Linked DNA regions of Lonchura striata. The protein of the gene in region 1 interacts with the protein of each later gene in a biochemical or structural test. Links are inferred from orthologs where the notes say so. Each region holds a gene or a part of one and is shown on either strand. Other genes may lie near its edges.

Evidence for each region. The genes of interacting proteins can lie anywhere in the genome.
Region 2: the proteins of SEC31A (region 1) and SEC13 form a complex in vitro, tested with the Homo sapiens proteins (2 studies listed by BioGRID and IntAct, with this or other methods). The link is inferred for Lonchura striata from reciprocal best matches to the Homo sapiens genes SEC31A and SEC13.

Annotation. Positions count from the first base shown.
Region 1 is NC_134606.1:60,924,000-60,931,364, forward strand, and holds the start of SEC31A (protein transport protein Sec31A), read right to left. Parts: upstream 3,185-7,365; 5' UTR 3,069-3,184; intron 2,528-3,068; 5' UTR 2,524-2,527; coding exon 2,445-2,523; intron 1,923-2,444; coding exon 1,799-1,922; intron 1-1,798. UniProt on the Homo sapiens protein: Component of the coat protein complex II (COPII) which promotes the formation of transport vesicles from the endoplasmic reticulum (ER).
Region 2 is NC_134614.1:23,854,785-23,862,173, reverse strand, and holds the start of SEC13 (protein SEC13 homolog), read left to right. Parts: upstream 1-4,171; 5' UTR 4,172-4,267; coding exon 4,268-4,270; intron 4,271-4,444; coding exon 4,445-4,489; intron 4,490-5,442; coding exon 5,443-5,558; intron 5,559-5,995; coding exon 5,996-6,147; intron 6,148-6,699; coding exon 6,700-6,833; intron 6,834-7,389. Other genes in the region: cullin-associated NEDD8-dissociated protein 1, read right to left, coding at 135-289, 1,513-1,656, 3,785-3,852. UniProt on the Homo sapiens protein: Functions as a component of the nuclear pore complex (NPC) and the COPII coat. At the endoplasmic reticulum, SEC13 is involved in the biogenesis of COPII-coated vesicles.

The DNA of each region.
Region 1 (7,365 bases):
TCATACAGAAAAAAAACAGGTGAAAGTAGAAAAATTCCATATGCTTTTCCGTATCTATGCTTTTGGATGTGCAAGTGTTTTGTCTGCCATACCAGGGACTCAGCATCACTCACAGACACATCTCCTGGACCACAGCCTATTTTCAGGCTAACTCAATAGGAATCAAACATACTTCCAGAAATTAACACTATTGTGCCCATCTGTAAATACCCAAATTCTCTTCAAGTCAATTAACTTCCTGCATAAGCAAAACAGCATTCCTGTGCACTTAGCCATGCAAAGAATGAGTATGTTCTGCATAAAATTACACAACTACTTACCAGCTCTTATGCAAGCAGAAAGCAAACCCACATTGACTGGAAAGTGGCAAGGAGATACCTTAGCATTCACTGTAATGTTGCTCATCCATTTGTTACCTCTGGGCAATCTTCAAGTAATTTATTTAAATCACACCAACTTTAGCATGGTAAGATGGAGACTGCAGAAAGCTACCCAAAGAGCATATGCTGGGTGAGAAATACCATAACAGCCAAGTGTTCAGGCTCCCAGTATTGAGATTACAGAAGGGGTTCATGGAAGAATGCTGCTACAAATGGAAATTGGTTTGTGATATCAGACAGACCCATTCCTGGGTATGATTGTTATGCTTCTGCACCTAACTATGCAAGTTTACCAGAAATGAAGTAGCTGACAGGGCTGTCCAGGCATCACCACCAAGACTGAACAGGACTTAAAACAACCCAAAATGAAGGAAGGAAACAATGAGGAACAAACCCCAAAAATTAACAGTGCAATTACTTTCCTTTTGCCCTTTACTCTTTCCAAGATAAAGTATGGTTCTATAAAAGCAGTGCAAAACTTTGCTTGGAGGGCAATTAAGGATTTATCTTTTGTGGGTATAATCACCTGGACATTTTCATTTGCTGAAAACCAAAATACAGCCTGACGTATACATTGCTATCTAATCTTTAATTGGAAACAAACAAACAACCCTCAACCTCATTTTTAATACATTTTCTGGGGCAAAGTCAAATTCTCGTGTTGCTGGTCAAGGGAGGTACTTTCCAAGGAGCACTGCATCCTGGCTATAAGGAGTGCTTCTAGAAATTCAGAATGCAAATGACAAGTCTTGACAAATTTCACTCACAGTTAAAACAAGGTAGAACAACGAAACTCAAGATCCAGCACTGCCTCCTGCTCTGAGCAGGTCAGTAGGACATATTGACATCAGCTCTGCTCACAGAGCAGGGCATTTAAAAAGGGATTGTGGCTGTTTCAGTTCTGCCAGGGAGCTGCTGTGAGTGCTGCTGAGATGGAAACTGGATACTCTGATGCTAACAATATTTATCTGGATAAGCACATGGTGAGGAACTAAGTAGAGCTGTGCAGCCAGAAAATTGGCTTCCCAGCTGTCGGAACACACACAACATAACCCAAGTTAGTTATGCTACAGGAGTCCCCCTGAAATGCCTAAATACAAACAGGATGATGCAATATGAAAAGTTGCCACCAAAATTTCACATGTTCTTCTGTTTTCTTGTGAATCCCAGAGGCTTCCAAAGATAAAGGCTCCACACATATAGTCAAAAATTTTCTGTTTATGTCAAAGCATGAGCTACTTTCTTACAGTCCAACATCACTGTCCCACAGTATCAACTGCACACACTTGCCTTCATCTTTCAGTGCTGAACTGCTTCTCTCCTCAACAAGTGCAGTGAAACCACATGAAGTGACATCTCTACACATACCACACATAACAGTTCCACACACTGTACTTTTCCCTTACAACACTGCCTACCTGTGTGAGGAGGAGAATGTGGCACAGCTCTTCATATCCAGTGAAGGGTCTGCTAAGTCCAACTCAAATATTTCTAGAGAAGCACTTGTACTGAAGGTTGCATCCAGCTGCTGAGCTGATGTACCTGCAAGGAAGCACACCTGGCAGTGAGAGAGCCATGATACACAGAGCAGTAACTGCAAATGCAGCACAAGGAGGGGAACAAAAACATCATCCTTTCAAAAACGATCCTGAGATGGACTCAGGCTTCTGTTTTTATTACTTAGATGCAGTTCCACACAACTTTCCTCCCCATGGCTCTTTCTTTGGATGTTTCTTAAAGAATATGAGCAGGAAAATATTTGGGCAAGTACCTCCCTGATGATGCACAGAACGCAGTTAAAGTGACAAAGGAGCCACAAGTGACTAGTACTTAGGATTGGTGTCACCTTTCCCTGGCAGAAAGACAAGGGTTCTCACTGTTACTCGCAGAATGCAAAGCATGTTTTTATCAGCACAATGCAAGAACTCAGCTCAAAACCCCACAACATATACTGCACTCCAGCCCTCAGGACACAGAGTATCTCCTACAGCTTTCAATAACCCCTTCATGGCAGCCACCAAACAGAGCCCGAGGTCTGCTAGCACGTGCTGCCCAAAAACTCACCTGTAGCCAGGTAAATGGGGTGCTGCTGGGCAGGGCTCCATGCCTGCATGGCAGTACGGTCTACTTCCTTCAGCTTCATTTTGCTGAAAAGTAAGACCAAGACAAGTGATGCTTAAATGGTGCATGGTGAGACTGCACTGCCACGGATACAGAAGCCACTTTAGGACTCGGCAGAAGCAGCCAGAGGGACCATTTTTCTAAAGATATCCCTCAGACAGACAGCCAAGCCATCCCCTCCAGAGGGCACCCGGCGGAGGGAAGGAATGCCTCTCCATTAGCAGAGTAACATTGACACGCAGAGGAAACTGACGGCTGCTGAACCTAACACAGGAAAACGTGGGCAAAGCTTCAACAGCTGTGAAAAACCCTCTTCTCACAGCAGCAAGCACCCTACAGCAGCTTTGTGCCTTAACCCACGAAACCAACCCAGCCCCGGGAAGCCGAACACTCAGCGGCTCGTTCCTGGCTCCCATTTCATTCCCAGGGCTCCCTCGCCTCGGGGCACCCCGCGCGGCCAGCGGGACCGCCACCCTCGCCCCGTTTCCGACAGGAGCCGGAGGAAAACAGCACTGAAACAGAGGATTTCGCCGTCCCTGCCCTCACATCGGCGTCCCCGGCGCTCACCCGTCCCCGGACCGCTCCAACGTGGCAGCCCCGGCACCGCCTCCCGGCCGCCACCGCCTTCCGGGCGCGCCCCGCGGCTTCCGGGCGGCAGCGGCGGGGCCGCGCCTTCCGCACGGGAACCGGGGGGCGGTGGTGATGGGAGAGTGTGTATGGGGATGTGCGGCCGCCTCCTTCCGCGCGTGTCCTCCGCGTCCCTCGGGCGGGAGCAGCCATCGGGCCTGGGGAAGAGGGAGACTGGTTAGGGGCGCCGGGAGCGGGGGGAGCCCGGCGCAGCGCCGGCAGCGCGGTGGCCGCGGTGCCGCCTGTCCTCAGCTCAAGGGCAGTAATCATGGCGTGCTCAGGATGTGAACAGCAGTGAGACTCATCACGGGACAGGGGCCACCTCGGGGCGGGGAACGGCCCAAGGGAGCTCAGCCGGCTTCCACAGCCGGGGGCCACAGTCCCGGACCCACCTCCTCACGGCAGCCGGGGCACAGCTGCGCTGCCGCCTCCCGCCGCCGCTGGGCTCCGCGGCCGCTCGGCGGGCAGACGCCGTGCGCGGGGCGGGCGCTGCCCGGACCGCATGGCGCGGCCCGGCGGGAGCACAGCGGCAGAGGCGGCGGGCGCTGCCGGCCCCGCTATAAGTAGGGCCGGAGGCGCGGCTCCCATTGGCGCTCAGGATCGCCCCTCGCCACTGGCTGCGCCCGCCGCCGCCGCCGCTCCCGGTTGGCTCGGGCCGCTCCCGGCCCCGCCGCCGCCTCCCGCGGTGACGCGGCCAATAGGGCCGCGGTCCGACGGCCCCGCCGGCCAATGGCGAGGCGGCGGCCGGGCGCGCGGGCGGCGGCGGCGGCCAATGGGCGGGCCCGGCGCGGCGCGCGCGCGGCGGCGGGTGCGGCGGCGGCGGCCATGACGCGGAGCTGCTCCGCGCTGGGCTGCACCGCGCGCGACACCGGGCGGAGCCGCGAGCGCGGCATCTCCTTCCACCAGTGAGTGCGCCCGCGCCGCCCGCCCGCATCCCTCCCTCCGTCCCTCCGTCCCTGCATCCCGCCGTCTCCCTCTGCCGCAGGTTCCCGGTGGACGCCGCGCAGCGCCGCGAGTGGATCCGCGCCGTGAACCGCGTGGACCCGCGGAGCCGCCGGGCGTGGCGGCCGGGCCCCGGTGCCATCCTCTGCTCCCGACACTTCGCCGAAGGGGACTTCGAGCGCTACGGGCTGCGGCGGAAGCTGCGGCGGGGGGCCGTGCCCTCCCGCTTCCTCCCCTCGGTGCGGGCAGGTACCGGGCGCGCTCCCCGACCCCCCCGGGGGTTCCGCCGTGTGCCGTGACCTGCCCTCTCCTTGCCCCGCCAGGAGCCGCCGGCCGCCGGGCGCAGGAGGAGCGGGACCCCCGGCCGAACGCTGAAGCAGCCGCTGCCCAGCCCGCCCGCCGGGGACCACAACTACAGCCTGCAGGGACAGCGGGAGCCGCGGCCGCCGCCGGACGCCCCGCGGCACCAGCAGCAGCCGCCGGCCGCCGGGAGATGCGGCCCCGCGCATCGGCGCAGGACCGTGCCGAGCATCCTCAGGGAGCTGGCGGAAAAGCGGCAGCTTTCTGAGGAAATCGTGAGTTTGCTGCAGGCGCAGTTTTCAGGTACTGCCGGGACGCTTGCTGAAGCAGAGTGCATTCCCTGGCCCCGGGTTCATGTCTTTGCTTAACCCGTGCCAAGGAAGAGGCGAGGCACAGTAGTGTAGTTGCTGAGCCCTACACTGCATGCCAGCCTTCAGGACTGAGTTGTTCCAGAGGCCATGCTGTTGCTTTGTATTCTGCGGGGTGTTTATGGCATGCATCCCTCTGTTTCCAGCCATTTATTTGTTTCGCTAAAGTTGACCTTTTGTGATTTCTTAAGCAGATTTGCCTCGAGAGTTGCACAGCTGGAGGCAGATGGCAGACTACTCACCAGAAATGAGGCAATTTGCTTGTCTTCTCCATCTCTACCATATTAAGGCCTATGATTACCTACGGAAGATTCTTCCTCTCCCTCATCCTTACAGTCTGACAAAGCAAGTTTTAAGTTATTCATTTATTCAGAATGTATTTCCAGTACTGGTGTAGAAATAGATGTAACGGATCTGTCCTGAAGCTGCCTTGTTACTTCCCTGCATGGTCAACACTTTCCTTGGCTTCCTACCACTAGGGTGAGAGGAGAGAAACTCGGACTATGCATGAAGGAAACCAGGGCTGCCTTCTTTGCCCTGCATGTCTCAGCCTTCTCTGCAGCTCGGGCATGGCTGACCATGTCCTAAGTCGTAAAAAGTGCTGCCTGTTGCTTCAACTTTTCCAGAATCATGTCTCCTAATCACATCCCTTTTTTTTTTTTTTTTCAGCTGGCTGTCTAATAACGAGGCTGCTGCAGGCTTCAGCAGTGACATTTTTCTCCAGCTTCAGGAAAAGGTGGAGAGAGGGGATCAGGCCTGCCGCTACTGCGCCGTGCTGGTACAGGATGTGTCCCTGCAGAAGCAGCAGGAGTGGGACCCACAGAGCAAACAGCTGACGGGCTTTGTTGACTTGGGAGCAGGCATCCTTGACGCTGACGAAGCTCCACTGGCGTCGGAAGCAATAATCCTCATGGCAGTCGGCATCTCGAGCCCTTGGACAGCTCCCCTTGGCTATTTCTTGGTGAACAGTATATCCGGCAACTTCCTTGCTCAGCTCCTTCGTCAGGCCATCCATAAGCTGAACAACGTTGGGATGATGGTCCTGGCTGTGACATCGGGTGCCTCTGCTCGCGGTGCTGAGACTGCCAGGGCTTTGGGGATCAGGATAGATCCCAAAAGGATTCAGTGCACTTTCCAGCATCCACCCGGTTCTGCTCACAGCATTGCGTACTTCTTTGATGTTTGTCATACCCTCCTGCTGATAAGGAATGCTCTGCAGTGCTTCCACAAGGTCGAGTGGCTCGGTGACATCATGTGGTGGCAGCATGTGGTGGAGCTGGCAGCTTTGGGTGAGCAGAGGGTGTTGGAGCTGTGCAGTCCTGAGTCAGGCAGGGCTGGGAGTAAAGGGAGTTACCACCTGAAGGTCAACCTCGCTACCCTGCTGTTCAGCGAGGGTGTTGCTGAGGCACTGGAGCACCTCCAGAAACTGGGCCTTACCTCATTTCAGAACTGCAGTGGGACTGTCAAGTTTGTGCGTCTGATGAGCTCGCTGTGCGATGTGTTTTATGGCAGAGGCCCCTATGGAAAGGAGTCTTTGCTAGCTGGAAATTTCACCAAAATAAGCAACCTCTTCGATGAAGCCAGGAGCTGCTTTATCAATTTAAAAGACTCTGTGGGGAGATACATTATTAAGAGCAAACGCAAACTGGGATTTCTGAGCTTCTTGCTCAACACTGAAAGCCTTAAGTGGCTTTCCTCTAACCACACATGTCAAAAAGGCACTCCTTCCCACCACCTCCACACACATGCCTTCAGCCTGGACCCCCTGGAGCAGTTTCTCAGGGCCCTCCACCAAGCCTGTGGCAGCAGCAGCCCTACCTGTGCTGTGTTCCAGGCTACTTACCACAAACTGCTGGCCAGCTGCAGCCTGGCCCCCAGCTCGCCACCCAGCAGTGGCAATGCCAGCCCCTGGAACGCATCCCCGTCTCAGAGGAGAGCTCTGACTCTGGGAAGCATTCGTGCTCAGTATCAGCCAGCTCCAGGCAAGACCCTGGCCCCAGACTACCCCTACAGCGCAGGCCTGCTTTTGCCCAGCTCTGCCCTGAGCAATGCGCTGACAGATCTGTCACTGCACATGCAGAGCCTCACCTGCACTGCTGGCTGGGTGGCCGAGCAGTTGGCTGTGGACTTGCAGTGTGAGGCTTGTTTTGCCTCTCTGTTTGAGGTGGATGAGAACAGGCTAAGATGCAGGTCAGTGCTCCACATAAAAAAATTAGGTGGCATGAGTCTGCCCTCGGCCAGTGTGCACCACATAACAAGCATTTCAGAACAAGTCCTAAACCGATATGGCAGAGTAGGAGGTGCCAACAAAAATACCAAGCTGTGGCATTTGTGTCTAGAACATAAAGTCTTCCAGGAGCTTCTGGGAGAAAGCCCCCTCTTTCCCACCCTCACAAACCATTTATTTGAGGGGAAACTGAGCATCAACAACCACTACACAATCTTAGTAAAGGAAATAACACGGTGTTACTTAAACATAAGAACACACCTCACCGAACACCTAAATTTGAAATACTCTTGTGGAAGGCACAAATTGAAGAGACTGAAAGGAAAGTATTTGTTTCCATCACCACAGGGTAGCTGTCAGTCAAGCTAAACCCACACATGGTCTTAGTGAGTATATTGTA
Region 2 (7,389 bases), on another chromosome or scaffold:
TGATTTCGCAGATTGTCCTCTGACAGGTGAGTAAAGAATCGGTAACTTTTAGGCTCTGGACTCTACATTTCACCCCATTTGCCAAAGGCTGGGACTGCCCGTCCCTCGGTGACAAATGGGAACAGACAGTGTACCTGTGGCAGCTGGTGGCAGCTCAGAAATAACTGTTTTGAGGCCGATGCTGGAGATGTCTCGCAGCTGTTCCTTGTCCGACAGCATGTTCGTGCAGAGTGTGTCCACGATGGTCTCCACCTGGTACTCCTTCACTTTGCCAACCAGCGGGCCCAGGCTGCAGGAGGAGAAGCCACTCAGGATGAAGTGTCCAACTGTCCTCATCCTTCAAACCATCACACTGCTCCTTCTTAAAGATCCTGGCCACCTATCTGGGAATGACTGACATTTCGCTCTAAGCACCTCCTTAGGCACGGAAAGGAAATATTCCTGGTTCCATTTTGAGGCCTCCTCATTATCACACTCTGGATGGATAAGAGACTGCAATGAGTATGGACTTACTGCAAATACAACCAGAGATAACCACGCAAAGAAGTTGAGAAGTTGGTCCTCTGCTCAGTGCCCAATGGTTTTGCTTTAAAACCCAGAATAAACCAACCCAAAGCAGATACAGGAGATACAGGAGCAGGGCCAAAAGAAGTCAGGACAGTTGGAATCAAAAAGAAAGGACCAAAGATATCAGGGAAAGAACAGGGATAGAAACAGCACGTGGTTGAAAAGAAAGGAATACTAATAGGATCCACAGCAGGAAAAAACAGAGGAACCCAAAGTTGTCTTTAAATGGTACACCTTTCTGGAGTCCTGGGGTGAACTGAGCCATTCAATGGCATTTCTAGACTGAACACGCCCACTTAGCCATGCTAGGGAAAGAGATGGGAAAGAACATGTCAGCAGCAGGATCCCTTTATCAGAGGATTCACTAATAGAGGAACCTGCTACTTTTGTTCACTTGGATTAAAAAAATATGGGAATGGTCACAGGCAAAGCAACAGCACCGGCTGCTCTCAAGAGTCAAGGCAGGGAAAAATCCAAGTGCACTATAAAGTTCAATAAAAACTCCTTTGAAGAGAAGGATTTGGACCTGAAGTTAAAGCCTACTATGTTTAGTACCATTGCTATCAAAGACAGATCTACAGAGAAAATCAGCACTGGATTTCAAAGCCTGAGAGAGGTCAAGAGGTTGATGAGCAAAATTTTGAAGTATGCTTCTGCCTGAAGAAATAAAATCCTAGGGCTCCACCTTCCACATGGTAAGGTTTGTAACAGGAACACTGAAGTACTTCTAAAATCATCTCTTGCTGCTACAAAGGTATCTGTGTGCTCACCCTTGTGAGTGCCTACAAGGGGAGAAAGTGCAGTGCCTACAACAGAGAAGCAAAGTCCCTTGCAAAGGAGGTTTGAGGGAGGTGTCAAGGGCCAGGCTCCGCTCTCACACTCTCTGCAGTCTGTGATGATTTTATTAATGCCAGGGAACATAACTATTACTGCCTAGGCTCTTACCATTTGACAGCAAGGTTCTGTACTTCCCCATTTTTGTCCTCCAGCAATTTCAAAAGCATTTTCACAACTTTTTTCTCACTGTCTTCATCTAGTTTTATTGAGTCTTTCTGCAGTTCCATCATCAGGTCATTGGTGGCCATAAACCTGAAAGAACACAAGGAGAAAGTGGATTGGCTGATGTGCAGACACAAATGCATCACCTTTGCATCACCTGGACAGAATTTGGCAACTAGTGCTAAAACACTAGTTGAAAACACACTACCAAAGAGTAACTTACAACACTGTCCTAAGAAAAAGGAAAATTAATACTATTTTACAAGTAGATAACACTTACAACATAACACTAGATAACAAGTAGATAACACTAACAGGGGTCAGGTAAACAAAAACTCTAAAAGTGGCATGTAGCATGTGTATTTTTCTCAGCGACTAAATGAAGATGGTTAACTATGCCAGAAAAAAAAATCATGATTGGTTTTTTAACCAGTTTTTCACCTGGCCTAGGAAAAGCAGTCTGGGGACTAAGAATTCACCTAGCTCTGTTCTTTCTGTCTAACTTAGCACTGGTAGTATGACCCCAGACATGGTCAAGCCCTATCACTTTCAAAAATGAAAAAAGAAAGTCATGACTTCAAGCAAACTACACCTCAGAAGTGCACTAGGCTACATTTAGATTGCTGTGAGCAAAACCAGTCAAGTAACTACCATTCCAGATTAGAAAGAAAAACAAAGACCAAATTGACAGTTTTCTAACAGGAACAGAATGGATATTGAGAAGCTCTGGAAAGTATCTCTTTTTCCAGGAGCAGGAAGTGCAGAAGGTGCTGTTATAGAACTCTGAGGTTCTAAGAAATCTCAGTGTGGCTATCGTGTGTTAGCTGCTTTCCAATGTTAGCCCCACACAGAATGGACGTCTGACAGGAACCAGGAAGTCCTCTCTTGTTACAAAATGACAGCTCCTTTTTAAATTAGGCTTTGATGTCACTCATTCAGCACATAAGAGCTCTCATGTACAGGTCATCATTTGAGGCTTCAACCTGCAAGCCCGTTCCTGAGCAGCAGTGAGGCACACCTGAACGAGGGACTGCTGTGCTGTTCCCCAGCCAGCCCAGAATCCAGCCTGAGAAAACAGCAGTAATGTGCCCTAGGATGTTAACGTGCAGTCTATTTGTGATTCTGCGAGAGCTCTTCAGCCGCACTCTGCAGTTCAGCGTCTGTGTGGAACCAGCATGACCAATTATGGCCACAGGCTGAACAGAGCCTTCCGCGGCAACACATCCCGCTTTGGCCTGGCTGCCTGCTGCCATCCTGCCCCAGGAGCTTGGGATCTCACCAGCAGACCCATCCCTGAGGGGCAACAAGAGAAGCCTGGCCCTATAACAGGTCATGTTTAGCCATGTGCTGGGAGGAAGTGGCCCTGCAGTACCTCTGGGACATGACGTGCCTGGGGTCGGGCACATCTCACTTGGAGTGGTAACTTTCTTTGAACAAAACTGTTTGTACAACTGCTCCATCACTGACTTCTTTATAAAGTACCTATTTTAACATCTGAGAACATCAGCAGCTTCTACAAAAATCAACCTACTTTTAGGCTATTAGTAGCCCCTTTCTTAGACCTCAAAATACCAAGTCTGGCCCAAATATTACCTTCCAGTTTGATACTGGGAGAACAATATGCTAAGGAATGAAATCTTTCATACATGTCAGTTTTAATTACTTTTTGATAGAGTGCCTTACATATCGAGCCATCTGCCTAACCCTAAAAAGATGTCAACTTTTCTGCTGACATAAACAACGAAATAAAAGTATCTCAGTTCTGTTAGGAAGGCACATTTTCCCATCACAAAGAAAGTTCTCCAAGCAGCCTGAGCAGAGACAGTATGTGCAGCATCTATCACGCAGGGTCATGGGGGTCTACTCACCCCTTTTAATGCACTGACTATCTCACCAATTATCAAAAGAAACTAGAAGCATTTCTGCTACGATGTTCTTTATTCACAAAACAAATAACAATTTGGAGTCCAGCTGCCCGGACTTATTCCCCCTTCCCCTTTGACCAAGCACCAGTCTAGGCAAGGGAGGGGAGCGGCGCTGGCCATGCCCCCTGAGCCAGGACACAGTGGGCTTGATGCCCCGTAAACAACAGCGCTGCGAGCTCCCGCACAGCGCTGCTGCCGCGGCAGGACCCCGCTCTGGGCAGCCCCCTCCTCCCAGGGCCCCGAGGTGTCCGCAGGTGGCTGCCGCCCGCAGGGCCCGTCCCGCGGTGCCACACCTGAAGTCCTTGTCGGTGGAGGTCATCTTCTCCAGCAGGCTGGAGATGTGGTAGGAGACGCTGGCCATGGCGGAGGCTCTGCGGGCCCGAGTCGCGGCCGCTCCGCTCCGCGCCGGGCGGCCCCGAGCCGGCGGGAGGAGCCGGGCCGGGCGGCCCTGGGGCCGACAGAGGCTCTGTCCGCGGCCGGCGCAGGACGGGGCAGCGCCCGGGGGCCGACAGAGGCTCTGTCCGCGGCCGGCGGTGCCTCTGGTCCTCGCGGCAGGACAGGGCAGTCCCGCTCCCCCCTCGCCCTCTCCTGGCCCAGCCGAGGCAGCGGCCGCCCCGGAACCCGGCACGAGCGGAACGCCGTCGCAGGCGGGCGGGGCGCGGCGGGGCCGGTAGTGCGCGGGACCGGCGTGCCACGTCTGAGCGCGCGGGCGGAGGCCGGGCCGGGAGCGCCGGGGCCGGGAGCGGCGGGGCCGGAGCAGCCGGGCGGGAGCAGCCATGGTGAGGCGGGGGGGGCGGGCGGGTCCCGGTGCGGGCCCGAGCGCAGCCGGGTGCGGCCTCGCGGGGCACCGGGCACGGCACAGGGTACGCCGGACCCGGCGGGGCGGCCGGGGATGGACCGGGGCCGCAGGGGCCGCGGCCGCGCTGAGCTCGTTGTGTTCCTTCTCCCCGCAGGTGTCGGTCATTAACACCGTGGACACGTCCCACGAGGACATGATCGTAAGTGTGCCGGGAGCTGCGCCGCCCGGGCCGGCGGCTGCTGTGGCAGAGCTGCTCTGGGGCTCTCTGCGAGCACTCGGGGCCGCACGTATGTGCTGTAAGAGCGCACTTGTGGGGTCCTGGATGCAGAATGCGGTGTGAAATCCTGATCTTGCCGTTTTATACTGCGTGGAGAGGAAAACTTTGCTGGGAGGAAAAGGGAAAATTATTTTAAATCTTAATGTTCATGTGAAAATTAAGGCTTGTTTCTGCCCGTTTCTGTGAAGTAATAGTATATTTTCTGGTACAGACCTTTGGTGGATAATAATGGTTTTCCTTTAAGTGGATGTATCTGGGAATAGATGTATTATTGTGGGTAGGCAGAAACGCTTCAAAGTAATTTGTTGAAGGTAGGAGCCCAGTTAGGTGAGCCTAGTTCTTCAGGAAGAATTTCTTCACAGAAAAGGCTATTAAGCATTGAACAAGGCTGCCCAGGGAGGTGATGTAGTCACCATCCCTGAAGGTGTTCAGGAAATGACTGGTTGTTGTATGCAGTGTTCTGCATAGTGACAAGAGATAACCTTTGGTCAAAGGTTGTAGTCAGTAACCTTGAACGACTTTTCCAGCCTTAAAGATTCTGTGGTTCAGTGATGGTGAAGTTTCAAATATAATTAAGAGCAGTATTTGTACACCCACTTGACATTTTAAGAAACAGAAATACATAACTGCTCACCTCTTCGTAGTCAGCAGCCTCTATTCCCTGTCATGAAAATGCTGTGGTTGTTGCTCAGAATTCCCTGGACTCCTGTGTAACTTTTGTGTAGTGATTGAGGAAGCAGCTGGGGAAGCTAGTTGGGCATGCGTGGGTTGTTTAGAACCGTTCCTCTGACCTGGTGTGCAGGGCCTGGGGTGGCTGTGCTGCAGCAGTCAGTGGCCGTGCCGTGCTGAGCACAGCCCTCCCGCTCTCCTTGCAGCACGATGCACAGATGGATTACTACGGCACGCGCCTGGCGACCTGCTCCTCTGACCGATCCGTGAAGATCTTCGATGTCCGCAACGGGGGGCAGATCCTCATTGCGGACCTGAGGGGGTGAGATGTCACACCAGGAGAGGTTAACTGGGGCAAAATCTTGGTGCTTTGCCTGGTGCTTTGCCCTTCTGCCCTTGGGCAGCACAGAGTGCAGGTTGACTTGCATGCAGGGTGAACTCCTCCAAGACTGCTGAGGAGCTTCTCAGAGCTGGGGTGGGGACAGAGCCCCAGTGGGAAGCACAGTGGGGCTTGATCATTCATTTAGTACTGTGCACATGTGATTTTCAAGAAGTAATATACTGCTACAAGTTGGAATTGTTTTCTGTGGCAGTGAGAGCCCTGTGCTGGGACACTAACATTGCCATCTTGGCATTACTCATTCCTCATGTCAGAGCTCTAATCCCTCCCAGCACAGCACTTCACAACGGTGATCTGTGAGGCAGCTGCAGATGCAAGGGGTTTCTCTCAGCTTTTCCTAATGATGTTGTTTCTTGCAGGCACGAAGGTCCCGTGTGGCAGGTTGCCTGGGCTCATCCTATGTATGGGAATATCTTGGCTTCCTGTTCCTATGACAGGAAGGTTATCATCTGGAAGGAAGAAAATGGCACTTGGGAAAAGACCTACGAGTACACGGGACATGATTCTTCAGGTATGGAGGGCTGGAGTGTGGAGCTGGGAAGGAAAAATGAGGAGATGAGGGGATTTGGGTAAGACTGATATAAATCTGTTACTGTTAAGTAAGAAAGTCTGTGTCAAAAGGAAAAGGATAAAAACTGAAGAGAGAGTAAATCTGTTCAGCGCTAACAAGACATTTCCCTAGGGTTGTATTGCTGGATAACCCACTACTGATTCATACCATGTGTCCATAAGTGTTGGTACACAAATAAGTCAGCTTTCAAATAAAGATGTCACGGAACTGAATTCTTGAGGAAAATATAGTTTACAGTTAGAAAAACTATTTAACCGTGCTGTATTTTGTTTTAAAATTGAAAATGTTGTGTTCAGATGATTTACCCTCCCAATGCAGATCTGTTACTCAGTAAACAATGCTAATTGGCTGGCTTCTGCTGAAATTTGACTCATTCTCAGCTTTCAAAGCCACTTGCTTTTGGTGACCGTGCCACTGATACCAGTCAGTGAATTGGTCAGTCAGCTTTAGGTAGTCGCTGTGCTGTAATCTGGTCTGTCTCGCCCTTCCCAGTGAATTCTGTCTGCTGGGCACCACACGACTATGGACTGATCCTGGCCTGTGGGAGCTCTGATGGGGCCATTTCCTTGTTGAGCTACACGGGTGATGGGCAGTGGGAAGTCAAAAAGATCAGCAATGCACACACGGTGAGTCTGGTCCTTTGGAGCAGCTCAGAGTTCCCAGAGCTGCAGATAACACCGAGGTGATGCCTCAGAGACATGAGTAGATAAGTACTGAAATGTGATGAAATTATGTGAAACATCCAGAACCAAGAATAGTTTCAGTTCATCCAGAGTAGGAAGGTATATGTTTTAGTCACTAAAATGTGAAATGTAAAGTGGAAATATGATGAAGTTCACTAAACAGCACTGGCAATGCCTGTTTATTGGGCATTATTGTTAAATACACTGCTGAAAGCTACCTGGTAAGAAATGGCCTTGGTTCTAAGTATACATGCATCAGCTGGAAAAAAATGTGGGACTTCTGTTTTTTTCCCAAAATTGTGTAGATTTTTGTTTAAGTAGAACATAATAAGCTAATGGCAGTGGCCAGCAGAAGGAAATTCAGCTTAGGACCAAAGGTTCCTTCTAGTCCTGTATTCCTAAATCTTAGCAACTGCATGTGCCTTTTATCTTTTCCGTCTCTATCTCCCATATTTACATATCCAAGATGAACTATTTTGTGTGCAAATACCCTTAGCTA